4 linked regions of the Alligator mississippiensis genome follow. The protein of the gene in region 3 purifies or fractionates together with the protein of the main gene of each other region. This does not show direct contact. Links are inferred from orthologs where the notes say so. Each region holds a gene or a part of one and is shown on either strand. Other genes may lie near its edges. The genes, in order: UNC119, SH2D2A, LCK and KHDRBS1.

Region 1 (7,718 bases), on a different chromosome or scaffold from region 3:
TTTAGGAGCTGGTGCCCCAGACATAAGCCAGGTCTCCGGCAAAGACAAGTGAAGATGAATCTGAGGAGCTGGCGATTAGGAGATTATCCGCTTGGAAGTTCTTGGGCGATGACCAGAAATAGCACGGATGTGCATCCGAGGGGCAGGCGGGTGGCGCACGGCAAAGGGCTTCCTGCCGCTCCAGCCCACAGCATGGCTCGTGGGGCCGGGCCAGCCCTGGGCAGCCCAGCATCGCTGCCTCGACCCCGACGGCATGGACTGTGGGTGGATGAGGGCTTGTAACAGGGCACCGTCCAACGCCGCTCACTGGGGCCTCACCCACCCTTGGGGTTAGTCTGGTCATGACCAAGTGCAGGGCTGGGCTTCCCTTGCCACACCTGGGGGCTGCCCAGTTGCAGGTGCCCGGGACCCTCGCAGATCAGCTTTAGTAGGTCAGGCAAAGACTTCTTCTAAGTCAGCAAGACCCCATCCCCTACACACCCATCGGCTCCACACCCGGCATGGCCAGGGAAGCCCACAGCCCAGGTCAGGACAGGTGCGGGGGGGATGCCTGGGTGCCAGCAATGTGGGCAGCGCACTGCCCCTGTCAGGCCTCAGTCAGGAGAGCCAGCAAGAGGCTGGCTACCTGCTCAGAAAGGGCTGTGAGGAGGCAGGCAGACAGACAGACGTCTCTGCCCTCCTGCTGGGCTGCTAACTCATCACAATCTGCCCCCAGCCCTGGTAATCCCCAGTTAATCAAGTGGTAAGGTTTTCCTCTCTTGGGCAGCAAGCGAAAGGGCCCAGCTACCAGCCAAGACAAGGCTGCAGCTGCCTTCTGCAGCACCCAGGCCAAAGCTGAGCCCGCCAGGCAGCCCCAGAACACGGGCATTGCCCCAGACGTGCCCCCTGGCACAGAGCAGGCAGCCACGGAGAGCTTCACGCTGAGAGGACACCGACAGCCAGGATAACTGCCATCATAAGCATATTAGGGGCACGCTAAGCAGAGCCCAGCTGGCTTCCCCGCCTCCTCGCTTGCGCTTGTGACCGGACGAGCTTCCATGCACTGGAAGCAAGTGCCCCTGTGCCACGTGGTTCACAGCTCCCAGGAGCCGGGCACTTGTGGGCTGTGCCAGCGACCCCCGTGGAAGAGGCAGCTTCTTCCACCTGCTTGGCTGATCTCCAGGGCAGCCAGTGCCCAGCACGCTGTGGGGAGCAGTGGCCAAGCAGCTGCTTCTCTTATGGAGGCTGCCTGCCCGCAGCTCTCCAGCCCCCACCCCAATCCTTGCACCCAGTCAAGGCCCCTGGGAACCAGGTCTCTCCACCCTGGTCTGACACCCAGGTCTCTCCACCCTGGTGCCCGGCAAACGCGCGGACAGGCCTGGCTAGTGGAGGAGTCAGCCCCACAGAGTAGCAAACACCCGCGGAGCACCGTGAACCCACCGCAGGCTCTGGTAATGGCGTGGTCCTTCACGGACGGCAAGGCTTCACTCGCCTCAGCGGAAAGGAGTCATGGGCGAGCCGGGGCAAGTGGCGCAGCTACCACCAATGGTCTGACCTGGGTGCCACCTTCCTCAGCCCGGCTGCAGGGTTTAAGCCAACAGCTAATGCTGAGCAGGCCCCTGTGCAAGGCAAAGTACCTTGCCCCGCGGGGCCTGCCGTGGGCTTCTCTTGGTGCTGGACAGGATGAGAAGAGCCCGGCTCAATCCAGCCTGGGGCAGCCTGTGCCCCGGGCACTGCCCATCCTGCAAGGCTCTCCACCTCCACTACGCCAGAGACAGAGCAGCTGGGGCAGCCCCAGGCAGAGCGAACGTTCAGACCGATGCGTGCCCGACGGTGGCTCTTTGCAGGTGCTATGGAGTGCTTTCCCCGCAAGCACCAAGCATGCAACCAACCAAGCAGCACCCGCGCGCTGTCCCCAGCAGCTGTGGTGCAAGGCTGGCTGCCACCGGACTATGCAAACACGGGCTAACGAGGCACGGAGCGTGCTGCCTGCGGTTCGCTATGCCAGCCGGGCGCCTCGACCAGCACCAACTGCTCCTGAGCAGGCCTGGACCGAGCCTCGCTGCTCGAAGCACCACGGCCCAGAGGACGGGCAGGCCCGGGGGCACTCAGCTGCGATCCCACGCTATCGGAGGCCACGTGGGTCTCGCTGCAAAGCCGGTGCGGGCACCCCACCGGCTACGGCGCCTTCTGCAGGACCGGGCAGGGCTGCGAGCTGTCCTCTGCAGCAGTGCTCCTCCTCCACATCCCCGGGCCTGTCCAGGGAGCACGCCCGGCTCCGAGCGTTTGCCGAGCCGAGGCCCACGGCCCAGCTCTCCCAGCGCAGCTGCGAGGATGCTAGACGAGGCCCGGAGCAGAGCAGCAGGGCCCGCGCAGACGTCCCCCGACCAGAAGCACCGTGCCGGGGGGGGGGCCCAAAAGGCCTAGTTCAGTGCCTGTTGCCACCGCCGGGTCACAGCCCACGCGAGACCCTGCACCCTGGGGGCGGCCACGCGCCCCTCGCCAGCGCGTCCTGCCGCCGGGGCACGGGGCAAACCCCCGGCGCAGGAGCCTGGGCGCCGCGCCCGCCGCCCCTGCCCCCGGGGCCTGCCGACGGGCGGCTCCCGCGGTCCCGGGCGGAGGCCGGGCCCCGGGCACGAGGCCTGCTCGGCGGCCCCACGGGAGCGGCTCGGCCGGGCGGCTCCCTGCCCCGCAGCGGAACAAAGCCGCGCGCCCGCAGGAAGGCGCCTCCCCGCGCCCCGGCCCGCCTCTGGGGCGGCGGGCACCGCGGAGCATGCCGCGCTCACCCGTGGTGACCTTCTGCAGCCCCAGCACGTCCTCGGGGCCGATGAGCGCCTTGCGCAGCAGCTCGTCCTCGGTGCAGGCGGGCGCCGCCGCCCCGGCCCCGCTGCTCCGCTTCACCTTCATGGCCCCGGCCCCGCCGCCCCGCTCCCTGCCGCAGCCCGTGTCGGCGCGGAGGGCGGGCTCGCTCATCCCCCGCGCGCACTAAGCGCCTTTGCCCGCAAATCCCCCGCGCCCCGGCTCCGGCCGCCGCCGCCGCTCCCTCGCGGCCCGGCTCCGCCCGCCCGGGAGGAGCCTCCGCGCCCGCCCGCCCGCAGCAAGGACACGCACGGCCCCGTCCGGCTTCAACTTGTATTGGTGGGAGGCGCAGGGCCCGCCCGCGAGCCCCGCCGCCAGCACCCGCCCCCGGCCCCCCTGTTGCGCCTCAGTCCGTCTTGGTGGGCTCCTTCTTGCCCCGCCTGGCCTCCCGCAGGATCTTGGCCAAGGAGAGCAGGAGCGGCACGGCCATGGGCAGGAAGAGCGGGATGTAGATGGCGAACTTCTGGTCGTCGGGGAAGTACAGCAGATGCAGCAGCGAGGGGTCGAAGAAGGCCCGCTCCGAGGAGGTGACCGCCTCCTTGCTGGCCTGGAAGGCAGCGCCCAGGCGCCCCGCGGCCAGCTCCTCCAGCGCCTGCTGGACGGAGGCCACGGCACGGTACACCTGCGTGGGAGCACACCCTCAGTGCCCCGGTCCCCACCGTGCCTCGGCCCTCTCCCAGCTCCCCGGGGCCCCGGCCCAGAGCGAGCTGGCACCCCCACGGCTCCCAGCCCCCACGAGCCCAGGGGTACGGGGCAGGCACAGCGAGCACCTCTGCCAGGAACATGCTTGCTTTTAAAACCGATGCCAGCAGGGACTGGGGGCTGAGCAGGGGGTCTCCCGTCCCCACTGAAACCACCTAGGGATTCAGGGCGAGGGGGCAGGGGGAATAGGATGCTACAGAGGCACGCAGCCGCAGGACAGGGGCGTCTGTCACTCCAGCTGGACCCAACACCTGTGCCTGCTCCAGCCCTCTGGTTCAGAGCAGCTATTGCCAGCCCCTCCAGCACAACCTCCCCCGGGCACGTGTGCGGAAGGCACCCATGGCAGCACCAGGCTTCCCCAGGGCCCTGCTCCGTCATGACGCCCACCTCAGAGGCAACGTCGTCCTTAATGACAATGTTCCCAATCTTGTCCAGCAGCTCAGCCAGGGAGGTCAGGGTGGTGGACACGGTGGCCACGTTCTCCACCGTCCGGGCCCACAGCAGGCGGTCCAGCTCCCAGGCCGCCAGCCCTGCGTTCCCAGGGTTTTCCAGCAGGAACTCCCCTGGGAGCGGTGCCCGGGAAATCCCGAAGAGCAGCCTGGAAGCAGAGGGGGCAGATCAGGGGAGGCCTCAGCCCTTGGCCGTAGTCACAGAGACAGGGCACAAGCATGATACCAGCTCTTCTCTGCCTCTCCTGCATCTGGACGTGCTGGAAGAAGGGGCAGGACTGAGCCCTGGTGAACCACCAGGTTGCAGGGAATGGCTCATCTGTGACCTGCTGGGGCCAGAAAGGGCCCGGAGCCTCCTCCCCTCAGCACCAGTGGGGCATGTCAGCCTTGCGCTGCCCGGCGCGTGCTCCCGGAAGGCCTGATCTGTGTGCCCAGCCCCGGGAGGACGGGCTGGGAAGTGTCCTCACCGCAGCTGGGCCAGGAAGACCTCCATCACTCGCACCATGTCCACATCGACCCGCAGTGGGAGCGGGGCCTCGTCTGCAGCCGGGTGCTTGACATTGTACACCTGCCAAGACAGCACACGGGACAGCTCAGCACGGGCACCCTCCCAACCTAGGGCCGGCAGAGCCCTCTGCAGCCAGCACCACAGTCTTGCCTGGGAGATGGCCAGGGACTCTTTAGCCCCGTCTCATCTCAGACTGTGTGCCCGAGGAAGAGGCAAGGATCCATCAGCGAGCAGAACGAACCCGCAGGTGCAGGAAGCTGCACCTATGTATTGCTATGCCCAGGCAGGTGAAGCTGCTGGGATGTTCCCAGTTCTCCTGCGCTGTGGCGTGGACGGCCCCACATGCAACCCACAGCCAGGCTCATCGCCCCAAAGCCCCAACAACACGTGCAGCAAGCCAGGGAGATGCTGCCCCTGGGCAGGCCCCATGGTTCAGCCAGGAGCCACAGCCCTCGCGCTGGTACGGGACAGGCTCTGCTCCAACTAGAGTCCAAAGCTCTGGTCCTTACCATGATCCCGCCCCAGCGGGGGCTGTGGAAGGCGTTGGTCCTCACCAAGGCCCCATCCCGGTCCTGGATGTAGAGCGGGGAATGGGCTCGCTCTGGCACGTACAGCAGGAAATTCAGCACCGGGAAGAGCGAGGCAGCACTGGAGCCTGGAGAGGGACAGCGAGAGCCTCAGTGCTACTGGGGACAGGTGCCAACAGGGACCGGGCCAGCCACTCACAGGGGCTCTGCCTCTGCTGGGGCAGTCAGAGAGGCCAGGCCAGGCCTGACCCGCTCACACGCACCTCTCATCCATGCCGGCACCCTGAGCACAGATTCGCATGGGCCCCAAGCTGAGCGGACTGTGCTGGTCTCATCCTCATGCCCCCGGGGACCTGCCCACCAAAGGACCAGCGGCCACAGCTTCACAGCCTGTGTCTGGTAGAACTGGGCTGGGTGCAGAAGTGAAGCAGGGAGGCTGCGTGGCACTTACCCAGCCTGGCCTCCACGGGGTTGATGACGTGCGGGAGGCTGTGCGCACTCAGAAGGAAGCTGGAGGAGTTCCTGTCAAAGCGGGGCGTGACCCCCAGCATCGCGTAGTACAGGATCTGCAGGACAGGAGCACAGAGGAGTGACTCCGGACACTCCCCACTGCCCAGGCGCCCACCCCTCTCACCCAGCCCTCACCTGCGAGTCCACAGTGAAGTTGGCTACAAAGCTCAGCTTGTCCAGGAAGGGCTGGACATAGCCACGGACGGCAGCCTCGATGTCCCAGCGCACGTCGTGGGACTTGGGGTCGGGGTTCAGCAGGCTGAAGGTGATTTCATACCCTGGGCGGGGCACAGCACGGAGGTTGCTACTGTGGCCCCTGCGATGGGGACGGGCAAGGCACGTCCCAGGCATTCGGGGCACAGCAATGCCATGCAGCTCATGTCACACAGTGACCGCTGGCCCAGGGCCCCTGTGCCACCTACCCAGCCTCAGCACACCCCAAAGTGCCACCCTGTGCAAACCCTGAGCTGCAGCTCACCCAGTACCAAGAGGGGTAACATTTGGGCCTCAACAACTGCCCTGTGCCACAGGCAAAGACGACAGTACCGTCAGTACCACAGCCCCCGTGGGGGAGGGAATAGCCGGGCAAGCTTGGCACAGGATTCCCATGGGTGAGCAGTGCCCTGACTGCATGGGAAGGCATCATCCCACCCGGCCAGGCAGGCAGGCACAGCCCCTACCCAGGCTGGACTTGAAGGGGCGCCGGGTGTCTAAGCCGAGGTTGCCCAGGGGCACACGGTCCGACAGAGCAGCAGCGATGGAGTCGGGGGTGAAGGACATGGTCTGTGCGATATGCCGCACCCGGGCATTCACCGCAGTCAGGACATCCCCCGCGGCTGGTGGGCCCCTCACCACGGCGCTGCGGTGCTTCCCGATGTACACGCTGACCCCCTGCAGACAAGACCGGGCAGGGCAGCGAGAGCCAGACGTGGCAGAACGTGCCCACTCCACCCATTCCAGGGCAAGGCCCAGCCCATGGGGACGCCAGGATGACGGGGCTGGGAGAGCTGCAGGGACCCCTGCCCCAGCCCCTCAGGCTTGTCCCTGGGACAGGGATGGGGACAGAGCCTGTCCCGACAGTGAACAGCCAGGAGGGAAGGGGCAGAGAAACCCGTGAGGCAGACGAACAGCGTCCCTGCCTGCAGCAGTCGGGGAGGTCTTGCAGCTGCACCTAACCCAGGCTCGGCTGCTTCCCACGCCGCAGCCACCCTTGGGCAGGGTCAGAAGCAAGGGGATCTCGCTGGACAAGCTCCCACCCACTGCAGTCACGCCAGGGGCACCCACGAGCTGCTCCGGGGAGGGCAGCCCGTGATGGGACGCCAGGCACAGAGGGTCGGTCCCGAGCAAGATGGGCAGCTGGATGGCACTCCCAGCAGCAGGAGAGGCTGTACCTGTGGCAGGAGAGACGAGGCCTCTGGGATGATGTAGATGGTCAGTGAGCCCAGCGAGCCGCCCTGCAGTGGCAGCAGTGCCGCATCGGCCTCTGGAGAAGACGAGGACATCGGTCACCCCGGTGCTGGTGAACCCAAGGCAGGGCATCCCCACCACCAGCTCTTACAGACAGAGACCTCCGCACTGCCCCCACCCCAGGGTCCCAGCTTCTCCCCTCCCTGGGGCCGCCCAGCCCTGCCCGGCCCCTGCAGGTGGGGGAGAGGGAAGGGTAGCGTGCATCCCCCAGGGCCCTGGGGTAAGAGCTGCATCCCTCCGCATACAGCAACTTCCCAGGCTGCCCCACTCGCCCCCAGGGCACAGCCAGCCACCAGGACCATGCCCTGGGCTGCCCCGTCCCCACACCTTGCACTGTGCCCAGGGCCAAGGCTGCCTCCTCCTGGCCCGTGGCGCTCCGGTAAGCGGTCTCATAGCGGGCGGCGACGCTGGTCCTCACTGCGGGGAAGGGAGAGCGCGAGTGAGGCCACTGGACCCAGCCACGGGCTCCCCGGCCTCACCCCCACGCTGCGAGCCCTGCTGGCCAACAGTGCCAGCCCCGCTCCTGGAGATGCCCCCGCGTGCGCGGCTCCGCGCGGCCTGGCTGCGAGGATCCCCCAGGCTGGGGGTGGCCAGGAGAGCGGCGGTCGGTCAGGAGTCCCTGCCCTCTCCCCCCAGCGCCTGCTCTCACCAGGGCTGCAGCGAGACCCGCTCCAGCCTTGGCACAGAGGCACGAAGCGCCCCCGAGCACGGCAGCAG
Region 2 (7,727 bases), on a different chromosome or scaffold from region 3:
TCCTGAAAGATTCAGCCCAGGAGCTCAGATCATGCCTATGGGCTTTGTGGCATAACACAGGCAACTGGGCATCCCCTGCCCCTGCTCTCGACTGATCAAACCTGTTCCTTCCCCACCCTGACTCCTGCCTCTCTCAGGAGCTGGGAGCAGCAGTGCTGGGGAGAGCCAGCATGGGCAGGGCTGCCTCAGGGCACAGGCTGGGGCTGGTTCTTCTGATCCCTGTCCCAGACAAAGGGATCGTCCATGGCACAGGCCCTGGAGGTGGGTGGGTAGGTTGGATGGAGGTAGGTCCACAGCTCCTACCTAGGCCTTGCAGCCTCCCGTTCCTGGGGACAGAGGTCTATCTCCTGGAAGCAGCTCGTAAACGTTCTCCAGCCCTTCCTGGCCCGTGGCGGGCATCGTGCCGCTCCAGATGGGCACCTTCCTGCTATAGACGGGGTCGTCGAACTCCAGCTGGGGGGGTGGCAGCACCTGGAGGGGACAGGGGGCACACGATGGAGGCTGGTTCTACTCCGTGCCTTTGCCTGGCTCTTGGTGGGGGTCAGAAGGGATCTGTCCCTGCCCTGGTGTCAGCAGGTAGGGTGTTGCACGGAGACCCCTGATGCCTGGGTTCTGCCCCACTCGGGGCTTCTCCTTTCCAGAGGGGCCAGGCCCCAGGTACCAGCGGTCCCTTCTCAGGGGGAGCAACTCGCCCCAGGTTTGAAGAGCATCTGCCCCCCTGGAACGCACCTGCAGCACTGGGCTGGACGGCCTTGAGGAGCCCCTGTCCCTGCTGGGAGCTGCCGGCAGCCGATGGCGCCTGGAGCCCTGGCTGGACACGCTGCGATGAAGCCGGCGGGGCAAGGGGAACGTCCGGGGCCGGCTGAGGCCAGGGGGCAGCGTGGAGGTCGTGAGCTGGACTTCCTGCACAACGTCCACCTCGGAGTAGATGTTCTCAGGGCCGAGGTCCTGCGGCGACCCCCGGCCCACGGCGTAGAAGGGGATGGGCTCATCAGGCTCATGGTAGATGCGGCGCTCGGGGGGCACGGGCCGCTCTGGGGGCACGGGCCCCTCGCGGGGCTCGGCATAGGTGTGGAAGCGCAGTAGCTGCTGGTACTTGGCCTCAGGAGCGGAGGGAGGGGTGGGGGGTGTTGTGTCCATCCAGGGGCTGCTGGGGACCCGAGTGGCCTTGGCAGGGAGCAGGGGGCCAGGACAGGCAGCCTGGGGAAGCAAAGATGCGGTGAGTCTGGGGCTGGAGAAACAGAACCGTGTTTGCCCCTCATCTGGTCCCAACTCACCTCTGGCGAGGAGCAGCCCTGGCTGGTGCCTCGGCGTTGCTTGTGCACGACGCTGTATGCTGGGCTCAATGCAGCATGGGGGAGCATTGCTGCCTCAGCCCCTGCCGGGATCCCGGTATCCACCGGCTCCTTGTCACTCTGCAGCAAAGTTTGGGAGAGGAGAAGGGAGAGCTGAGCAACAGCAGTGCTGCGAAGAGGGTGCAGAGCACAGGTCCAAAGCACAGGCCTGGGTGTCAGGAAACCTGGGGTCTACACCCCCCAGCATTGGGTGGAGAGTGTAAGAGTCAGGATGCCTGGGTTTTTTTCTCATCTCTGCCCTCCCCTCTCCCAGCTTGGGGTCATGTTCCCTGTAAAATGGGTGCAATCCTGCCCTGTTGTAGCTTGGGGAAGGGTAATGGGGCTATTTCTTTGCCTGCCTGTGATTTTGACTCTGTCTCTGCTGCCCATGCCCCTTTTGTGCGGGCTGGAGAATCTCCAGTGACGCTACAAGGCTTATGACACATGTGGCAGAAACAAGCCCCTGCTGCTGCCCTGGCAGTCTAGACGTGTCAGGGCAGGTGGGGGCAGCGTGGTAGGGCCCCTCTTACCCAGGCACAGGGCATGGTGAGGAGCTCGTAGTAGGGATGGATGGGGGCCGAGGCATAGTGTTGCAGCAGCTCTTGCAGCCTGGCGTGCGCACTATCCTCCCCCAGGATCACATAGTGCCCATCCTCCAGCTGGTCCAGGATGTAGTGCCGGCAGCGATCCCAGCCCCTGGGGAAACCGAGGCAGCGCGTGAGAGCCTGGCTGGGCTGGGGGTCACAGGTGAGAGCCTGGCTGGGCCAGGGTGATGGGCGCGTCTCTTGATCTGCCTCCTGGGGCCCTCATCCCAGCCAGGGGCAATCGGGGGCAGGCGCCAGGGACACCCAGGTGCTCACCTGTAGGACAGCACGAAGCCAACTGTGCTCTCGCTGAAGCGGATGAGGTAGCAGCCCAGCGGCTTGTCCTGCAGCAGCTGCTCGGACTCCCTGCGCAGAGAGGGAGAAGGACACGTGGGCACGTCTGAGCACATGGGAGCCTGGAGCACCCATGCTGCTCGGAGCCCGGGGCACCCGGTGCTTGGCCCAAAGCAGAGTTGAGGGCATCTCAAGTCAAGCCCAGCTTGAGAACAAGGGAAAAAACCCAGGTTTCCTGGCTCTGCCCACCCAACAACGCTCCCTCCCCAGAACTGGGAGAAACCCAGGCGTCCTGGCTCCCATGGTTTCTGCTCTGGTCCCCAGGGCAGCTAAGAAAACCCAGGTGTCTGGGCTCCCCTTCCCTCCTGCTCTACCGCTGGGCCCCACTGCTACTCCCGCCCCAGCGCTGTATCCCCGTGGGGGTGCAGGTCCGTGATGGTCCGGGGAATGCTATTCCCGAGGTGACCCCAGCTCCCAGCACCCCCCGCCCCTCACCTCCTGCTGAGGAAGCCGTGGAACCAGTCGGGGCGCTGGCCATCAGGAAGGACCCTGCTTGCCTGCGTCTGCTCAAACCAAGCCTGGGTGCTGGCCCGGAGCGCAGCCGCAGCTTCGCCGGAGCCTGGGACCAGCCAGGGTAGCCTAGCAGCTGAGGCAGAAGGGGTCTGCGGGGGGAGAAGGGAGAACCAAAGAGCCCTGCATGAGGATGGGGGGCTGCAACCCACTTTGTGCATGGGGGACTGCCCACCGCAGCTGCAGGGCAAGGGTTAAGGTTAGCAATAGGGTTAGGGAAGGGCAGAAAGAATTGCCCTGGTCCTGCAGCGTGGCTATTATCTACCTATAGCTGGCAGACAGGGTGCCAACACTGCACTCTGACCCCGTTCAAACCCTGCACAGCCCTGCCCTCCCCGGCCTGCGGCTCCCAACACCTACCTGGCTGGAAGGGGCTTGTTCCCTCTGGGAACTGGGGTGCAGCTGTCCCTGCTGGGGCCCAGCTGAGGCCGCCCTACGTTCCTCCAGGGCTGGGGCTGAGCCCTCAGATCTGCCCAGGCCATGGGGATGGAAGGTACTGAAGAGCAGGGGCTCTGGGGGCTCCAGGCCATCGGCTCCTGCACAGGGTAGAGAGATGCAGGATGAGGCCCTGCCTCGACACCCTGCCCTGGCTCCGACCCTCCCTTCAGCAGTAGGAGCAGGGGAAGCCCCCAGGGAGGGGCTGGGGGCGGAAGATGAGATCTGGTAAGGAGCTCGGGACCTGCAAAGAGGTCCGGGGATGCGGGGACCTGGACATGAGCCAACAAGGCGGCTGCAGCAATGGTGACTGTGCCAGGGGCATGCACAAGCGTGTATGTGGGTGCATGTGTGTGTGTAGAGGGGGTTGGCTCTCCCCAGCCATGTGACAGGAGCATGGTGCCCAGATTTGGGCCGGAGAGTGGATGCAGAAGCCCTGGCAGGGGTCCAGGGCAGCGCAGTGAGGCTGATAAGACGCCTGGGAATGCAGCTGGGCGTTGGCAGGGCAGAGAACGGGGTGCAGCCACGTCGCAGGCTGCCCCGGGGCCCTGATGCGGGGTTTGTGAGTGTAAAAGCAATGGGTTTTGTTTGCAATCGGGGCGCTCCTGGGTAGACTCTGGGGGAAATCTTCCCCCTCGCCCCAATACTTGAGCCTGAGGGCTGCTGGTTCCTGCGCGTGAGCTTGACATTTCTCCTTCCTGACCTGCCCTCCAGGCACTTGGCGATGGGGAAACTGAGGCCCAGGGACTGTTGTGCCTGGGGGGAGAGCCTTGAGCACAGGGGCGACTGCAGCTCATTCCTCTTCCCCAAACTCTGTCCTTCATCCCTGGAGAGGAGGGGACAGTCCCAAATGCTCAACCTGGAAGGCTCAAAGGTCTGGAGCTGCCTTTCAGCTCCCGCACAGGTTTCATGCGCCGCTGGGGGAAGGGATGGGATCCCCAGTGAACAGCCAGCCCCTGAGGACATCTGTTTCCCCGTAAAAGCCAGGAGGGCTGGAAAGACACTTCCCCAGGGGGAACAGTTGCATCTTCACCCTGGGGTTTGCTTGCAGCGCACTCAGCACCGCCCTGGAGCGGGCCCAAAGCAGAGGCCGCCTTATGCAACCAGGCCGGGGCCAGGTTTTGGTGGCGCGTAGATAAACTTCCTGTGCTGGTTGGTGCCCCAGATTCTTCGCCTGTGCTGAGAAAGTTTCAGCTGCCCTGGCTGCTCGGCTAGGGAGTGAGAGCGCGTGGATGGGGCCTGAGAGCTTGGGTGATGTCTCTTCAACCCCCCCAGGACATGGGGAAAGGCTGTGTGATAACGTGCAGCGCCTAGCACCGGAAAGACTGTGATCCTGGCGCAACGAGACCCAGGTGGGTATTTGAGGGGAGGTTGAACGGTTACAGAAGTGAGACAGGATAGGAAGCATCATTAACGATGCTTAGAAAACAAACCTGTTGAGACATGGGTGCCCCGGTGCTCTGCCCATGTCACCCTTCGCGTTCTGTTTTGTGCAACGCCAAAATAATGGAGCACAACAAAGCTCCTGACCTTGCTGTCTGATCCCTGATGATGCCCGCGATCTGGTCTCTGAGCCCAGGGGCAGAGCCTGACCCATTGCAGGGCTGACATGTAACGAGTGAGGTAGGTCTCAGCCCAAGTCCTTCCAGGCAGGGGTGTGTATTGCCCCCCTCAACAGCTGGATCCCTCCTGGGGCCAGCTCTGTAACAGGCCTGGGCTTCCTCCTACCCTCCTGGCAATGCTGGGGTGGTCCTGCCAGCTGGGGGGGGCACCCAGCAGCCCTCCACCCGCCCCTCCAGGCCCAGGAAGCTGTAGGATTTGAGGAGTCTACCCCCAAGCACCTTGCAAGCAGCCCTCGCTGCCTCCAGAGTCACCCCCCTCCCCCTCCGCCCCCCAAGCTGCTCCTACCTCTGTCAGGCCCTGGCTGGACGGCGAAGTCCATGCGTGCACCCAAGCCGGCTGGGTGGGCAATGCCAAGCCTGTGGCCCCCTCCCCGACCAGGCGCTGAGTGTGCCCCTGCCTGGCAGGAAGCTCGAAGGGCAGGAAGTGGCGAGCAAAGCCACAAGGCACGGGTGAGCAAGAGAGCATGACGTCACGGAAAAGCAGCCCGCAGCGGGGGAACACTCCCCGCCCCTATCTGGGGCAGGTGTCTGAGATGGGCCCGGCTCAGCCAGGTTCGGGGTGGCCCCCACATGCATGGGTATGAGGGGCGGCTGAAGGAGCCTGGGTCTTGCTGGCATCAGGCTGCTTTGGGGGGGGAGGGCACAAGGACCAGACCCCCCAGATCAGGGGCTTCCACAGCAGCACAGAGGCTGCACCCCTGCATGAGAGCTCTTCCACTGCCTCCTTGCATGCCCTTGGTCACATCACTTGTGTCACCAGGCTCTGGTGCCTCCAGGGGTGAAACGGGCAGGGGCATCTCAGCTCCTTGGAGCCAGCTGTGATCCCACTGAAGTAGGGACTCTCTGCTCTTGGGTGGGGGTAGACCCCCTTGCCATCGTACGGTGCTGGAGCAGGAGGTTGGGGCACAGGCCTGGGTGTCTTCTGTACTAGAGGGACATGGTGCCTAGCAGGTAGAGGCAGGTAATAAAGCCAGACAAGCTGCAACAGGACAGGCCGTGGGCACAGAGCAGGGCTGCGAGATGCAAAGGGCTTGGGACTTCCAACCTCGGCAGGTTTCCTGGGGCCACAGGGAAGGGGCCAGATCTCACAGACCAGCCTGGGTTTCCCAGGGCTCAGCCCAGCTCAGCAAGGCTGAGCCCAGTGCAAGGCTCACCAAGCTGTGTTTGCCCAGGGCTGGAGTGGCAACAGGAAGGGAGAAGTCACCAGGTGGGGAGGCCTGGGGCTCTTTGGTTACAGTGCCATTCACTGTTTGTTTTGGGGGGAGGAGGTTTCATTAATAGACTTTCTTTTCCAGGCTAAATCCCTTTCCGAATTAAGTTTGACTGAATAGAGCTCAATCGTTCCAGTCTGTGCAGCACTACCTCCAGCCAGTCCCTACCTCCCTGGGGCTTCAGATGCTCCCAAATCCATGGCAGGTACCTACATGCAAGCTCTGAGTCCGGAGGCTTTGGGGTCCAGCTGCCCCCTGGTCTCACTTGCCCTGAGCCAGAAGGAGCAAGCTGGAGGGAGAGCCCGAGAGCAACCCACCATCACCAGGAATTGTGTAGTTGAGATCCTGGCGTTGGAGGCTTTTGCAGGGGTGCCCGCCCATGGTGCAAGGGCCAGGTCTCCAAGTTATGCAAGGCTGAGAAGAAGCAGCTCTCCCCTGCCAGGTTGGTAAAACCACCCTCTCCCTCTACACATCCCAGATGTTGCACACTTAACTGCTTAGTTGTGCCCTTCTGTAAGATCAGCTACATGGATGTGAGCCTAAAGTCAGGGGCAGGGAGAGCCAGGGTGCGATCCAGCCTGGGCTTCTCCTTGGCTAGGGTGGGCAACCAAGCCAGGATTTCTGGGGTCTAGGTCCTGCTCTGGTTACAGGAGATCCAGACACCTGGGTTCACTCTGGACACTTGGGTTCACTCCGGACCTCTTGTGACTCCTCTCCCCAATTGCAAAGGGAGGATAGAGTTAATGTCAGGGCTGGGCATTTTTTTCCCCACAGATACACAGAAGTTTAGGGCCTGAAGGGACCTTGTGGCATCATCAGGCCCAGCCCCCCTGCTCTGGGCAGGAAAGACTCTTGGGGTGAAATAACCCCAGCAAGGTGTGCATCCAGTCTCCTTTTGAAGATCTCCAGGGTAGGTGCTTGCAGCACCCCCGCTGGGCGTCTATTCCAGAGTCTGATCACACCATCCATGAGGAAGCTTTTTCTTATATCCAGCCTGAAACCTTCTTCTAGGAGTTTATGACTATTGCTCCTGGTTTTCCCCTGGGCACTTTGGTGAATAGTTGTTTGCCTAGCCCCTGATGCTCTCCCCTGAGACATTTGTAAGCTACCACCAAATCCCCACAAAGTCTTGTCTTTTCTAGGCTGAACAGTCCCGTATCTGTCAGCCTCTCCTCACATGGTTTGCTCTTCAGGCCTCTAATCATACGAGTGGCTCTTCTCTGGACTCTCTCAAGCTTTTCCACCTCCTCCTTGAAGTGCAGCACCCAGAACTGGACGCAGTACTCCAGCTGCGGCCTCACCAATGCCAAGCAGAGTGGGAGCATAACTTCCTTAGCTTTGCTTGAGATGCATTGGTTGATGCATGCCAGAGTATTATTTGCTCTGCTAACTGGAGCATTACACTGGTGGCTCATATTCATTTTATGGGCTATTATGACTCCCAGGTCCCTTTCGGACATGGCACACCACTGAGCCTGGAAGTTTGTTGTGGATTTTTCCTCCCTAGATGGAGCACTTTTCACTCCTCAGTGTTGAACGGCATCTGGATCCGGTCTGCCCATCTAACTAATCTGTCTAGATCTGCCTGGACTGTTAGCCTATCCTGATGTGTGGCTGCACTTCCCCACTGCTTAGTGTCATATAGTTGAAATAATATATATATAATTATAGTTATAA
Region 3 (7,231 bases):
CAGGCTGCTGGCTCTGGCATCCTGCTGCCTTGCTTGCTCCTATTGCCCAGAGGTGCCTCATCTCTCCTTGCTGAGTGTCCCTTGTTGGCGATACTGCAACAGCTTGCTTGAAACCAGACCTGGCAAGACTGGGCCAGGGCTGCCCTGATCGCCTGGGACCTGAGGCATGGATGGAGCTGGGGAAGTTGGACTCGCCTCACTTCTGTCTTCAGTCCTCAGCTCAATCCCTTGCAACTGGAGGGATGTGCGCTGCAGAGGCTGGCGGGCAGCAGGGGAGCTGAGCCCTGCCTACTGCCATCACATTTGGCCTATTGGCTGCCTCCTGTTGCCCTGCGGTGGCTTTTGCCCTCTCGCTCCTCAGTCCCTGCTCCTGGGGGGTCTCTGCTGTATGGAGCAGCATCTCCAGGATGCACAGAGCTCTGCATTTGCCATAACCCCTGAGCCTGCACAAGGTGAGCAGCCCTGCAGCCATGTGGCGTGCACAAGGCGAGCCAACTGTTCCCAGCAGCATGTGATGCTGTCATGGGAGGGGAGGGAGCATCGCTGCTGGAGCATCTGCGGCTGCAGTGACGCATGCCACGTTGCTGGAGGCTGCTTGCTGATGCTGAAAAGCATGAGCAAACTTTCCATGCAGCAAGAAGAGAAGGCGGTGCAAAGGCGGCTTGCCTTCTGTGTGTCGCATGTGCTAGTGGCCTCCTTGCCGCCCCCAGACTTGTCTGATCCCAGGCTTGCACAGACGGGGCCTCCCTCCCCTGTGCCACACACCTACGTCGAAGCCCCTACTGCTGGCCTGACTCGGCCTGGGGATTACTTCTGATCAAGCCATCTAATCCATATTCCCCCAGCCTTGCGCTGAGTGGGCCAGTCCCCTCCCCCTCCACGCTGCTTCTTGGTAATGGCGGAGGAAAAAGGCGGCGAGCACCTTGGGTTTGTCGCTTGCTTCCGCTACACGCTGCTGTTTCCATTTGGTTTTGCTGAGGCCTCAGATGAGAGGGGTGCCGGCTCTATGGGGAGCCGGTGAACAGCCCCACCGAAGCAGGTGCCTTTGTTTGGCCACATGCATGGCAGCTTCTGTGTTTCATGTTCTCTCCGGCTTGTGTGATGACTTACCCGCAGCTGGGAGACTTCGGGTTTTTTTTCCTCAGCCCTGCAGGGGCTTGCAGTCCCCACCCTGACCCCTTGTTTGGGAAGCTGATTTTTCCAGGGAACGTTTGTTCCTTTGGCTGAGAGTGATGAACCCTGACTTGACACTTTGCCGCGGATCTTGGAGCACGGTGCCAGATCTGTGGAAGCTCACAGCCTCTGCTGAGGGCCATCGACCAAAGAGGGAGGCTGCTGCTGATGGAGGCATGGGTTGAAAGTAGTACAGCCTGCTCCAAGACACCTGCAACTTGGGGACAGAGCTGGGAGGAGAATCCAGGGGCCCTGTGTCCTGGCCCCCTGCTCGGCTCAGACCCTTAGTGAAGGAGCTGAACCCTGAAACCCTGGCTGCAAATTTTCAGCCCTAAGTCCCGCAGCTTCTGTTAGAACAAATTGCTGCTGGTGCAGCGAAGAAGCCTGCTAAGGATCTTCTGGCTCCAAGCCTTCAAAGAAAATACAGGAAGATTGTCAGAGCTTCACAACACTGAGATCCCATTGACCTTTTTCAAACAAAAAAGCGTTCTTATTTTGCCTTGAAAAATGGACTGAGTCCCTGTCCCTCCCCGCCCCGATGCTTTATCATAAAAGCAGTCAATATTTTTGCCATTTTTCAGTGTTTTTGATGATAAAAGAGGATGCTAGATTTTTTTTTTAATGATCTGTGCTGGCAGATGGGAAGTGGGTGCTGATGGTTTTGTCGCTGCTTTCCAGTTGCAGAGAGGCTGAAAGCCTGACATATCCTTCGCAAAGCGAACCTGTCTTTTTTTGTACAGTTGCCATAACAGCAATAAAAATGATTGATTGATGCTTTGATGGTATTTATTTATTTTTTGGTCCTGAAATATCCTAAAGCGGGTTTGCAAACTTTTACGCCATGCAAGAGGCTTGTTTTGCCTACCACTGAAACACAGCCTGCTTTGGGGTGGGTCAGAGCAGCATGTTAACGAAGCAGAGCAACATTAGGACAGGAAGTGAAGCTGAAACCACATCCAGTCAAACTGGGAGAGGAATTCAGGTCTGCAGGTACATGAGCAGGAGTCTGGACAGGATGCCAAGTTGCTAGGTCAGCTGGGTGGAAGTGCTGAATTGAGGGTGTTTTAATCATTGCCTCCTGCTCAAACTGCCCTTTCCGCTAGCCCCCTGGAGAAGTCTCTCCGAAGACAGCTAGCCAGAGCCCAAGCTAGAGCAACATCCATACGCGCGTTGCTGCCTGTGGGACAATTGCTGGCATAAAGATCGCAGCTGGGCTATGGGGAAGATGGAGGCGCTTCACTCCTACGGTTGCCCTTGTTGTTCAAAATGCCCCTGACATGTGCCCGGGCATATCGCCCTGTATGGAGGTCGTGGCCCCCCCGTCGAGCCTCTCTCCCCTGTTGCTCTGTGTCATATTCTCTTGACTTCCTGCCTTCCTTCTTGCAGAGCTGGCTGTTGGTACCTGTGGCTTTGCATTTGATCTCACAAGCCAAGACAATAGCTTTGTGGTTCTCGTGCTGTCAGCACTGGCAGAGCGTAGGGCTTCGGAAAGGTAACATGGAGTGCCTCTGAAGACGATGTCTTCGCTGCTCAGCCCCTCTCTGGAGAGGAAAGAAGAAAGCCAAGCCCTTGCTCTCTGTCAGAGAAGGCTGGCTCAGTTCCCCTGTGGCTCATTACCTGCCTCTCTCACGGCCTGGCATATGTTTGCTCTCTGGGTGGCGATTCTGGAGATGCGTGTCCTGGTGCCTCTGCCACCGACTGGCTGTGTGACCCTGCCCATGTTCCTTCCTTTTTCTGTGCCCCTGTTTCCACTCCCACCTTTTATTTTTCCCCTTCTTTTTAGTCTGCAAGCATTGCAGGGCAGTGGGTTTTCTCTCGCACCATGTGTGCAAAGTTTGGGGCTTTGTGCAAGTGGTGAAAGATGAGGTATGATGGAGGACTGCTGGGGAAGAGAAATTCTGTTTCATTTCTCAACAGAAGGCAGGCTAGATTTACATCTTATAGACTAAGTTGGAGATAAGCTTTTGGTAAGCACAGGGCTCTCTCACTTATTGACACTGGGCTTTCAGGACATGTTCACACCTCTGAACCCTTCACCCTCCTTGGCCTTGTCTACCAAAGTCCAAGCAGAACTGCTGAGTTAGCAGCCAAGCTGCAGCTGCTTGTGGTCTGCTCTTGGTGGTGTGTTCAGGCCCTGGTACTTAGCACATCACCCAGTCACCGTGCAGGACGTGAGTCAGGGGTGCATTTTGCTCTGTCTGCTGGTAACGGTTATCACTTGTGCGGTACAGCACAGAGTAGGGGGAGATCATGACATGGAAAATGATTCGGCTGTCCTGCTACAGCTCCAGGGGCACAAGTTCAAGTCTTATTCTGGACGCATGCCAAAGGCTGCCCCTTGTCAACCAAGGTGGGTATGGGCACTGGACCATTCAGGCTGGAGAATCATTAGGATTGTGTGTTTTGGGTAGGGGGACAGACTGGCTTTGATCTTGTTGAGAGTATTGGCATCATTATGCTGGACATTGTGCTGGGACCTTGGATTCGTGGCAAAGATAAAGAGACCCCTTTAACAGGAGAGCAAGGCCAGCGCCGTGGTGAGGGAGCTATCCAGGGACTCGGGGTCAATTCCCTGCTCTGCCACGTGGGGCTTGTGTGACCTTGGTCATGTTGCTTAGCCCCCCACCTATGCCTCAGTTTCCCGAGGGGAAATGGCACCTTCTTACCTTGCAGGGCTGCTTATCCTCAGTGATGCCGGGGACTGGGGCCATGTCAGGGCCATGGAGAGAGTTCCAGTTTTGTGTGCATCAGGGCATAGTCACCCAAACTTGGATCTTTTAAACTTTTGCATTGCCCTCCTGATATGCGCAGCATATCACTTGGCGCCTAATTAGGATGTAGGCCAGAATTCACCCCCACACTCCTACCTTCCCCCACATGTGCACTCTTAACATCCTCTCTTTACAAGACCAGCCGAAAGCATCTGCAGTACGCCGGGTGCTGCATGTCTCTCACTGGACTTCCCTGCGGGGTGGTGGGTGGCAGCAGGAGTCACAGCCAACACCTGTGTCGGCAGTGGGGAGATGATACCCAGGCAGTGACGGTGCCCCTCTGTACCGGCAGCTTCCATCTTTAGAATGACGGGCCTGCGGATGGCAGGAAACCTCCCTCGCTAGCATGCTGTGGTCGGGCGAGTGCTGAGAACAAACTTCTAGAGCTTGCTCATGAGATTGCAGAAGGCAGGAAATCAGGGAAGGCAGAGTGCGAGAGCGAGCGAGACCGTGCTGCTGCCATTCCCTGATGTGAGGACAAGCTGGGCTGCTGTCCGGGAGGTTGTATCCATGGTCTACACCCCGAGGATGGAGACTAGCATGTGACTGGGAAGGTGCTTTCACTCACTGGCCATGGAGATCTAAAAGCAGCTCAGCTCCATCTCACAGCAAGCAGGTAAGGGAAGGGCTGGGGCCGTGTTGGGTGAAAAGAGCTGTGCCTTCGGGCTGGGATCTGGGGATTGCTGTCATGAGCGGGCACGGAGTGGCACTGGGGTCTGTGCCAGCTCTTCCCTGGCTGGGAAGCGATGGTTCCTCTGGGGAAGAACGACATCTTTGGGGAAGGACTTGCTTTTTGGTGGGGGTGAAGTGAGACTATAAAATGGGAAATGAGTCCATCACTATGGTATCAGGCCAGTACACAGAGGAGTCTGGCTGCTTAGGCTGGTCGCGGTTGGGGTACGGGGTCCTGTTTGAAAGACCTTTGGACTGAAAGACCCATGTTTGCCGTTGAGCTGTTTGAGTTCTTGAGTTGCTGCCTCTAACACAAGCCCTCATCTCCCTGCCAGCCCTCCCCAAATCCTACTAAAACTGCTTTCTAAGGGGATCCCCAGAGGGACTGTCCCCAGCTGGAGTGAGGGTGAGGAGTCTAGTGAGTCACTGCTTCCAAAGTCCCAACTTCCAGGGCAAAGCGAGGAGGAAAGCTGGGAGTTGTGCCCTGAAACGTCAAGCGCTCTGTCTAATCTGCCTTGGATCTCCCCGTTCCTGAGCTGCCAGCCTTGAAGCTGGGAGCAGGCTGGAGGGTCTGGTTGGTATGGGGCTGTTTTGTCTTGGAAGTGAGGAGCAGGGCAAATCCGTGTCTGCAGTGAAAGGTCACTGAATTACCCCTGGCTGGTATTGTGGTCTATAGCTTCTTAAATGCAGACTCAGTGCAGAACTGCCTGCTTGTCTGAGTTCAAACCCAAATGCAGCTGCAAACCCAGGCTGTGTCCAGTTCTCCAAGCTGCCCCCTTTGAAGTTGCCTCTCTGCTGACCCCAAGCCACAAGAAATAAGAGAAGGGACCAAGGGGCAAAATTCAAGCTGTGTGGATCCAAGATTTCGAGTCGGGACCATAGACGGGGTAGCTTGGCAGCTGTGAGCCTGAGGCTGCTCAGACTGTTATCCGGTCCCCCTGGTCTTGCAAAATATTCTGGGAACTGGATCTTTTGGGGCTGACCTCACTGGTCATATGAGAGACACGGGGGTCATTCCTGTGGGCAAATCGGTACTGTCCGAGGCTGAGGGTTGTCTTTTGTGGTGAGCAGTGACTACACTGACTGCCGCGTTTGCTTTTTAAATGTGGGCGCTGTTGTCCTTGGTCAAAGCAAGGCTACTGCAGCATGCTTCGATCGGGGGTGTGGGTCAGATGAGAGAGGACCACAACATTACTGGACATCCCTGGCATATGTTCAAGGGAAAATAGTTTCTCTCGCCTTGCCATGCTCCACCTCCAGCACATTCCTCCTGAACCAGGGGGCCCAGCCCGATCCAAGGAGAGAGGTGTTCCCGCTCCCCACCAAGTCTCACCCGGGCTTGGCATGAAGACGCATAGAAGTGCAAACACGCACACGGATTCGAAGACAGATGCCATCATTCAGATAAACACATAGCCCTGTGACTGTCAACCAGGAGATCCTTTTTGGGTGTTTTGCAATATTAGCGCTGTTAAGTGTGCAAGCACCTACCCACGGGTCAAAGGCGAACCCAGCCATTCCCGATAGGAATCCACAGTGTCAAACCCATCCTGCCCTGCTGCAGGCTTTCCAAGCTCTTTGCAGCAGAGAAATGGCTGCCTTATTTTTCTGCAGTCAAAAACACGAGTGCAAGTTAAGAGCTGGCATTTTCTGAAGGGGGCCTCAAGTCGAACAGGCTGGAGAACCAACGATGCAGTTGCACAAATGCGCCCGGAGGCAAGCAGAGATGCACACACACCCAGAAGAAACAAGGGCAAACACGGACAGATGAGCACACACAGTCGCCCAGACAACTGTGCAGAGCTGCAAACCCACGGGGACCCGCACGTACATGGGACCGAAGCTAGGCAAACACACAGACGCAGGCATGCACGCCCCCCCACAAACTGACACCAAACTTCAGTTATGCAGGCAAAGCCAGTCACCAGAGAGAAACAAAACAGACTTCAAAGTAGCCCCAGGTGCTGATCAGGTGATACAGCTCCTCTGTGGAAATTATTTTGTGGCTTAAGCAAGAAAGACAAAAAGAGTCGTGTCCCCGTCCCCCCCCCTCCGCCCCGACTCCTGATTCTCATAGGAAGGGGGGCACCCCAAGCGTGGCATCATCTGCATTTCGCTCACAGTCATGTTTCAAATGCTTGATTGTATCTCTAGGGGATGCTGTTTGAGGGAGTTGCTTTTCTTCCACAAGGGTGGATATTTCTTCGATTTTTCCACCCCTCTCTTGCTAAATGGGAGATACAGAAGTTGCATCTGCCTGGCTCTCCGGTAGTCCGTGGGGTGCCTTTTACAAGATGAGGATCTAGCATCTCCTGCATTTCTCCAGAGCAGCGGTTCTCCACCTTTTCTGTACCAGGACCCACTTGTAAACATCGATGGCCAGTCCTGACCCAGTGCCCCTCGCTCCCAACCTGCTGCCCCACTCCAGGCCCCCAGTGTGTGGGGTAGAGGGTGGGTATGGGGGGCCCCAAGCAGCCCCTTGCAGGCTGGAGCTCTGTCAGCCTGCAAGGGAAAAGCCGTGGTTTCTTCTCCTATAAAGGAGAATCCATTTTTAAAGTTTGTTCATGACCCTTTCACACATTCTTGCAACCCACTTTTGGGTTGCAACCCACTTT
Region 4 (7,437 bases), about 180 kb from region 3:
GGCTATTTCTGCAGAAGTACACAAGGATGCCTTCTTGCCATGGGGACTGTCAGCTGCACAGAGACATATGTTTCTACAGTCTCCAGGGCTTAGTGATGGGCAACAGCCACATCTGCAATGGAGCCTAGGCTGCTCCCATTCATTACACCTGACCCAAACCCAAGATTTGTCTTAAAGAACACATGCTGAATTTGCATCATTAGTGCTCATGTGCTCACTACCATCTATGAGAGTAAAGCATGGACACGGTATTGATGTTTTACAGGAGAGTTAAGCTGTGTTTTTGTTTTTTTGGGGGGGGTGTACCTTAAGTCCTTTCCTTCCTGGTTCTCCAAGTTTTACATTTAGCCACTACTACCCACGTTCTGGAAGGGCAAGAGGCAGTACCAGGCAAACTTACCTCTACATTAACAAAGGTTTTGGGCCATCCCTTTCACTATGAACTTTTCATCACTCCCATGCACTTCATTCCAACTGACCTACTCCCCGTCTGGTCCTTGACAGTAGTTATTCCATCCAATTATGGGGTAACTACTGCCACAGAGCTGGAGGTGGCAGATAGGGAAAGCTGGCTTGAGACATCCTGTTTACTGCTCCTAAACCATGTTCCCTTTATTTCTCCTAATGTCAAAACCAGTCTCCTTCACACAGAACAACAGCCATCAGCATGGGACCCACCTACAGGCTGAGGAACTGGGAAGAGGATACAGAACAGTGCAGGGACTAGGACAGTATTAGTGGGGACTTTTTTAAGGGCATCAACAGAGACGTTACTCCTTAACACCTGCCCCTGCAAAGCTGTGACCCCTCCTCCTTTCCACCCCCCTCTTCAGTTAACTTTTTATTGCCTTCTATATTCCTCATTGTTTTAACGCTTTGCATTGTTTCCAGTTGCTCAGACATCCCTAAACTGCTATGACACTGCTCTAGTGATCCCTTCGTCATACTCACTGCTCTGATAACCCATAATCCTGGATCATAAAGTCAGAAAAAGGGCTCAAACACACACAGCTCTCATGATGAAGCTGTGCATCAGGATCCCCATGTTCAAGTGACCTAGAAAACAGCTCTCTCTTGTCCATTGATCAGGAAACCAACTACATTATAGCCCTTTCATCTGTCCTTTAAATCAATGCTGATTTCCTTGATCGTATTTTTAAAGTAAAGCTGGAGTTTGCACGTGCATTTTAGAGTACTGCAGAATATTGCTCTTGAGCCAACAGTTCTCATTTCAAGACAAAACTTCCAAGGGGAACTCCTGGGAAATGCAAGCAGAGGCAGGAACATGCGCAACATGCATTGTCTGAAAACCGCCAGCTGTAAGGCTCCAATTTAGAGTGCACAGATACAGCTCAAGTTCAGTAACCACAGCTATTTTAAGAGTCTGCTTGAAAAACCCTTTTGCCTCAGAAACCTGCTTTGGCCGCATTTACATTTTTCAGTCTCTTTAGCCCCAACCTGAAATTCCAAATTAAGGTTAACGACTTTTTCAACACCGATGTTATACAGCACCCTTTGATGAAGCAGGATATGCCGAGTGACCAAAAATCAGTGGGGGCAGGGGAGAAGGAGGCCACAAGAAGAATTATAAATTCATTTTGTAAAATTCATTTTTTAACGGCTGCATCAAGAATCCTTTGCTCATCTGACCTCGAAATTTGACTAACGCCATCCTAAACGCCACACGAGACAACACATTACAAGGCAATCCAAATAAGCAAACTGATTTTGCAGCACAGGAAAAATAAAAAAGGATTCTTAAATTATAAGCGATGATCAACTGCAGAGGCAAGCGCTCCGATATAATTCACAAGCCAGGTTGTTCGGACTAAGGAAACGTCCGATACAAAACCTCGGCGCGGCGCTCGGTACCCGGATCTTTGCCGAGCGGGCCAAGGACACCGACCTGCCTGGAAGAATAGGAGCTTCCTAACATCTCCTTCGCCGCACGGAGCAAGCAGAGCGCGGCTGCACATCAGGCGGCTGAAGACGGCGGGGAGCAAAAGCAGTTAAGTCGGGATCAAAACAAGGTTATAAAATTATTCGATACGGGAATCAGACGTACGCCGGCGATGCCGGATACGCTGCAGCAACTCCCCTGGAGTCGGCGGGCAGGCGATGTCACACACCCATCCCCGCCCCAGCGCCGGCATCATCGCCTGAAAGGACCCGGGGCGTCATCGGGCAGCTCGCAAGGAGCGCGCGCCGTTTTCATTAATAGATGTAAAGCAAAATCCTTTTCCGCCGGCTGCTTACCACCCCCCCCCAGGGGCTTGCCCTGGGGCAGCCGAGCGGGCGCGCAGCCGCAACCGCGCAGAACAAAGGCAGCCGTTCCCCGTCTCGCCGCGGGTCGGTTTTGGGAGGGGGCCGTGCCCCGAGAAACTTCTCCGCCTGCCTTTCACCCACCCACCCACTGTAGGGTTGGGGAGGGGGGTTCCTAATGCTGTTGGGTTTTCATACACGGCGGGGGGGCTGCCACCCCCTCCCCCCGCGCTGTTGCCATGGCAGCCGACCGACGGGACGGGGACGGGAGCAGGGCCGCCCCTCCCCCCCGCCGCGGCCGTACCTGCCGTGAGGAGCTGCATGGCGTGCGTGAAGGACGGGTCGAGGCTGTCCTTCTCGGCCATGAGCTCGGGCAGGTACTTGTTCTCGGGCTCCATCTTGACGGCGGCGGCGCCGGGCAGCAGCGGGGTGGGCGCGGCGGCGGGCGCCTGCGAGGCGCCGGCGGTGGCGGCGGGCGGCAGCAGCGGCGGCGGCTGCGAGCCCGGCGGGTGGGCGGCGGCGGCGCCGCGGGCCCCGCCGCGGGGCGGCCGGCGCGGGGGCTGCGCTGCCTGCGGCCGGGCGCCGGGGCCCGGGGGCCGGCCCAGGCGGGCGGCGGGGTCGTCGCGGCGCTGCATGGGCGCGGAGCGCGGCGGGCGGCGCGGGGCGGACAGCGTTGCCACACCGAGGGCCGCGGCGGCCGGGACCGGAAGTGAGGGGCCGGAAGCGCTCGCCGCTCGCTCCCGCTCCGCCGCCGTCGCCGCTCCGGACGCACTGCGCCTGCGCCGCCCTCCCGCCGCGCCTGCGCGGCGCCGGCCGCCTGCCGAGAACAAAGCGCCGGCTGAGACGCGCTGCGCAGGGCCTCCGAGTGCGCATGCGCAACGAGCGGGAGGAAACAAAAAAGAAAGGAGCGCCCCCTTCCATTGCGCCTGCGCAGAGGCGCAGCGGCCCTGCCTCGTTCCGCCGAGAACAAAGTACCGAGGGGGCCCAGTGCGCATGCGTAGAAGCCTAGCACGCGGGGAGGGGCTGCATTGCGCACGCGCAATCGCAGCCTTGGGGCGAACAAAGCGTCCGGGAGCGATCGCAACGCATGCGCGTTACAGTTCCTCCCTCTTCCCCGCCCCCCGTCCCTTGCAGGAGTTCGACGCACGTGTGCGTCTTCTGCCTGCCCAGGGCATGGCCTGGCTGCCGCTCTGCGCATGCGCGGGTCCTTCCCTGGCTTGGGCCTGGCCAGCATGGTGTGGCGGGAGAGATGGAGCCCTGAGTTGGGGCCGGGGGTAAGGGTTAGACCTTGGGATCTTTGGAGCAAAGCAGCCCAGCCCTGGCCTCATGCTCCCCTCCCTGAGCACTAGCAGGCTGGCCTTGCTTGCCTGGGAGCCCATCCGGACCCTGCCAGATAGCCTGCAGCACATTTGACACGCAAGCCTCCTATGGCTGATACTGCGACACGAAGCACCTGGGTGCACTGGTTCTAAATCCGCCCCCACCCCGTGTGTGCACTGCGCAGGAGCCCTGGGGGGCTGGGTTAGCATGGGGATCCCTTGGTGCAAATCTTGATGACACCCAGAAAGCCCCCCAAAGGGTGCTCTGCAGGACCGACCTCCACTTGGAAGGCCCCTGCGTGGTCATTAGCGGACACGTTCCTTCAACCACCGGCGAGGGCATGGCCCTCGGCTGCCAAGCCAACATCAGCAGTAATTATCCTATAAGTCGGCAGTTCCCAAGCTCTGACAGCGCACCATCATTTTAAAACAACGCAACCTTAAGTGCCACCAGCAAATTTTTGTCATATAAAGTAATGATAATACATCTGTTAATACTAGTCGCGATGCATATGGGGTGCGCCCCCTGACAGGCCGCGCTCGCATGTGTCCCCCTGAATCAGGCGGCACCAGTTGCCCATGGGTAACACGTGCCGCTGACAGGTTCTCTGCGTACCGGTGGTGGTACCCGTACCAGATTGGGAACCGCTGCTGTAAGTGACAGATTCATCTCATTGTCCCAGAGTGTATACAAATAGTATACGCATAGATCCGTTTATGTCCTAAAGCAGGGAGGCTGAGTCTTCTGCATTTTTATTTCCATCAGTCTGTGATGGCAGCATATAGAAAGCTCATTTGAGGAAGGCAAGTTTCTTGATCTCCGAATGTCTTAATTGACAACCCCCCCCCGACCCAGAGCCTGCACTTGTCTTTTGGGTTCAGACTCTGCCTGTATGCAATATGACTTCTGTTGATAGCAGGACTGACTTCATGGTAGGAGTCTTGTTGGTGTAGCTGGGACTGAACTATATTTCAACCAGGTCTCTAACGCATGGAGTAGATGAGTGGTGCCCAATCTTTTCACCCCACAGACTAGATGGGCAGTGCCATATCTGGCCGCAGGCTGGATCAGGCTGGTGGGCTCGACCCAGCCAGAACGTGGGGTTGCTGGAGCAACTCCATTTAGCCCAGGGGACTGTGCAGCCTGACCCAGATCCATCCACAGGGGGTTGGGGAGCAGCTTGGTCCCCATCTGGATGTGTGTGGGGGCGCTGAATGGAGCTGTCCCGATCAGGATGTGGTGAGGGGTGGGTGGAGAGCAACTTGGTTCTGATCCAGACACATCGGGGGTGGAAGTGGAGAGCAGCCCAGCCATGATCCGGATGCCGATGGGGTGGAGTGGCCTCTGCCTGGACGCATGGAGGGGGCAGGGAGCCGCCCAGCCAGATCCGGATAGACAAGGGGCAGGCCTGTCCCTGATCCTGCTGTGCGGCAATGGCCTGGGCAAGGCTGGATCCCACTGCATGGAGCTTCCTCGCTCCCCAGCTGCCAGTTTTTTCCACCCTGCAGAGATCCCCGTGGGCAGGACGTCACAGCTCTATGGGCTGGATTTAGCTCGCAGGCTAGGGGTTGAGCACCCCTGGAATAGAAGAAGCTGGGGAAAGAGCCCATGAAGGAGAAACTTTGATGCCAGCAGGTGACAGATCCCAGATCTCTGTACTTCTCTCACTTGGCTACAATCAGCAATGTGCGCATGGATCTTTACTGAATGTGCTGTTTGGACAAACCCTTCACTCAGTAGTTAATGTTTGTACAATACAAGTAAATGTACAGTCCCATCCATGCACCTAAGCTACTATTACTCACACAACCTCAATGCAGCAGGGCAGCTTCTTATAGCTAGGAGCATGGCATAGTTTTGGATGCCTAGCACTGCCTGGCTTTCTTTTGCTGCCCTTTGCTCTTTTCTGCTCTCACTCTCCTGGATTCAGTTGCTCTCTCCCTTGTCTTCAGTCTCGCATCCATGAGATTGTTTTTCTCACGCACTTCACCCAGCTCCCTATTAATTAACCCTTTCTCCCTGCCTGCCTTTCCCTGATTGCATTTCTCACCTGTCTCGTGCTGCCTAGCCACCCCAGCTGCCCAGTCACACCTGCACATATGGGGTGTACACATGGGGCACAACGCAGCAGAGGTCTGTCACAGGTGATCTTGAACTGGCATAAGGTTCCCAAAGACCTAGAACTAGCTTGCACCACACGGGCTGTTTAGGACCCACCGTGCCATCCCAGCTCCTGCTAAAGGGTCATCGTTGCCCCAGGATTTCTACCTTCTATTTCAATACCACAAGAGAGGATTAGAAACTGTCCCAGTGCATCCAGCCTCCCCTCTCCACGGTCAGCATTGCTGGTTTTCCTTTCTGCACAGCTTCTGTGCCTGCTTCTATTACATCTTCTGAAACCTCTGGGGCTCAGACAGCAGAAGCCTGAGCCTTGCTGCCTGCACTCAGTTGTCTTCATTTCTCTGAGTCGCTCTCCATCTTTCTGTGCTCCTCCCTCTGGGCCAGATTCTCCACCTAGCTACATGCTAGAAAGTGGACTGAAACTGTCCCAAGTTAGGCAGTGGAGAACTTACGTGCAGAGCAATTCCTTACCTGCCCTTATTTCTTGTATTGGGGAAGGCAACACATCAAGAGCTTCCTGAGGACCTATTACTAACTCACACCCTGACTGGGATGATCACAACCTGCTCCTGCACACATCCTCCCCACTCGCTGCAGCTACGAGGTGCCTGAACTCACCTGTGAATCAGCCCCTCTTCCCTCTGTCAAATCTTGTCTTTACAAAGCACCCTGGCCAGGAGCTCTTCCCAATCCTTGAGGTGCAAACATCTCCAGGTTTGATACCGCTCCTGGTCCCCAGCATCTGAGCAAAACTGCAGAAGCAAAACAAGACCTAAGTTAGACGTTTTCTCTGGGCCTGGTCCTAGTGGAGTATTTTTCAAAGACATCCTGTCAGACCCAGTTTTTTTGGGAACTGCTCCTGGAGATCTGCAGCAGAGATACAATGAGCTCAGCTCATCTGCTGGGGCTGAATGGGGTTCTGAGGTCACGAGTGCATCTCTTCCCCAACCCACCACCTCTCATACAAATAGCCTGGTTTCCTATTAGCTTTCCCACCCTGCTTGTTTCCTTCTCCTTTTCTCTCTCCCTTCCTATTGCTTTTGTTATATTTGTCCAAGACAGTCTGGAAAAAAAAATGACTCCAACCACAAATGTGGAAGGAGTGCTGCCAAGCTGGCAAAATTATAAAATAAAGCTAGGCCTTCATTGCCATGGACTGATGCAACAAAAAGTAACTTTAGATCAGGGATGCTCGACCAGGGTGTTGCGGCACCCTGGGTTGCCCTGAAATCCTTTCAGCGGTGCCTCAGGGTGCCACACACTGTTAGCACAGTTATGGGTGCAAACATGATTCACAGGATAAATCCTGAGATTTCAAATAGGCATCCATAGTGTTAAAAACATTGTGTCCCTGTTGTGGTATTTCCGAGTTCTTTGCAACAGGAGAGCTGGAGTCAAACAAATGAGTGAAAATTAAGAACTGGCACTTTCCAAGGGGGGCCTCCAGTCTTAACGAGGGGTGCCTGGGGTCTAAAAAGGTTGAGAACCGCTGCTTTAGATTCTCATGGACGCAGTCATATCCACATATCTCATGGCTTTCACGGCCCTTTCTTCATTTTCTTGGTCCTACTGCCCCTCTGGCTGGCACTGTCCGTCTCTTCCATGAGATCGGTATTTTGTGTGCTTGAACTGCAGGAGAGGAGCAATGGGTGTCCCTGCAGGTACATCCCCAAACCTGGAGGCACGTTCCACGGACAGGCCGTGCAGCTGGCAGTGGGGCAGGGCCCAGTGTTG

What was found.
Region 1: the proteins of LCK (region 3) and UNC119 purify together in Homo sapiens (affinity purification with western blotting; 3 studies listed by BioGRID and IntAct, with this or other methods). This does not show direct contact. The link is inferred for Alligator mississippiensis from reciprocal best matches to the Homo sapiens genes LCK and UNC119.
Region 2: the proteins of LCK (region 3) and SH2D2A purify together in Homo sapiens (co-immunoprecipitation; 3 studies listed by IntAct, with this or other methods). This does not show direct contact. The link is inferred for Alligator mississippiensis from reciprocal best matches to the Homo sapiens genes LCK and SH2D2A.
Region 4: the proteins of LCK (region 3) and KHDRBS1 purify together in Homo sapiens (affinity purification with western blotting; 5 studies listed by BioGRID and IntAct, with this or other methods). This does not show direct contact. The link is inferred for Alligator mississippiensis from reciprocal best matches to the Homo sapiens genes LCK and KHDRBS1.

Annotation. Positions count from the first base shown.
Region 1 is NC_081837.1:1,020,656-1,028,373, forward strand, and holds the start of UNC119 (protein unc-119 homolog A), read right to left. Parts: upstream 3,011-7,718; 5' UTR 2,953-3,010; coding exon 2,766-2,952; intron 1-2,765. Other genes in the region: PIGS (GPI transamidase component PIG-S), read right to left, coding at 3,185-3,460, 3,928-4,138, 4,457-4,557, 5,007-5,152, 5,476-5,590, 5,670-5,812, 6,215-6,425, 6,926-7,017 and 1 more. UniProt on the Homo sapiens protein: Involved in synaptic functions in photoreceptor cells, the signal transduction in immune cells as a Src family kinase activator, endosome recycling, the uptake of bacteria and endocytosis, protein trafficking in sensory neurons and as lipid-binding chaperone with specificity for a diverse subset of myristoylated proteins.
Region 2 is NC_081838.1:16,650,716-16,658,442, reverse strand, and holds SH2D2A (SH2 domain-containing protein 2A), read right to left. Parts: upstream 2,944-7,727; coding exon 2,935-2,943; intron 2,875-2,934; coding exon 2,708-2,874; intron 2,285-2,707; coding exon 2,195-2,284; intron 2,031-2,194; coding exon 1,865-2,030; intron 1,416-1,864; coding exon 1,278-1,415; intron 1,201-1,277; coding exon 508-1,200; downstream 1-507. UniProt on the Homo sapiens protein: Could be a T-cell-specific adapter protein involved in the control of T-cell activation. May play a role in the CD4-p56-LCK-dependent signal transduction pathway. Could also play an important role in normal and pathological angiogenesis.
Region 3 is NC_081829.1:5,615,429-5,622,659, forward strand, and holds the start of LCK (tyrosine-protein kinase Lck), read left to right. Parts: upstream 1-4,219; 5' UTR 4,220-4,560; intron 4,561-7,231. UniProt on the Homo sapiens protein: Non-receptor tyrosine-protein kinase that plays an essential role in the selection and maturation of developing T-cells in the thymus and in the function of mature T-cells. Plays a key role in T-cell antigen receptor (TCR)-linked signal transduction pathways.
Region 4 is NC_081829.1:5,791,972-5,799,408, forward strand, and holds the start of KHDRBS1 (KH domain-containing, RNA-binding, signal transduction-associated protein 1), read right to left. Parts: upstream 3,001-7,437; 5' UTR 2,898-3,000; coding exon 2,567-2,897; intron 1-2,566. UniProt on the Homo sapiens protein: Recruited and tyrosine phosphorylated by several receptor systems, for example the T-cell, leptin and insulin receptors. Once phosphorylated, functions as an adapter protein in signal transduction cascades by binding to SH2 and SH3 domain-containing proteins.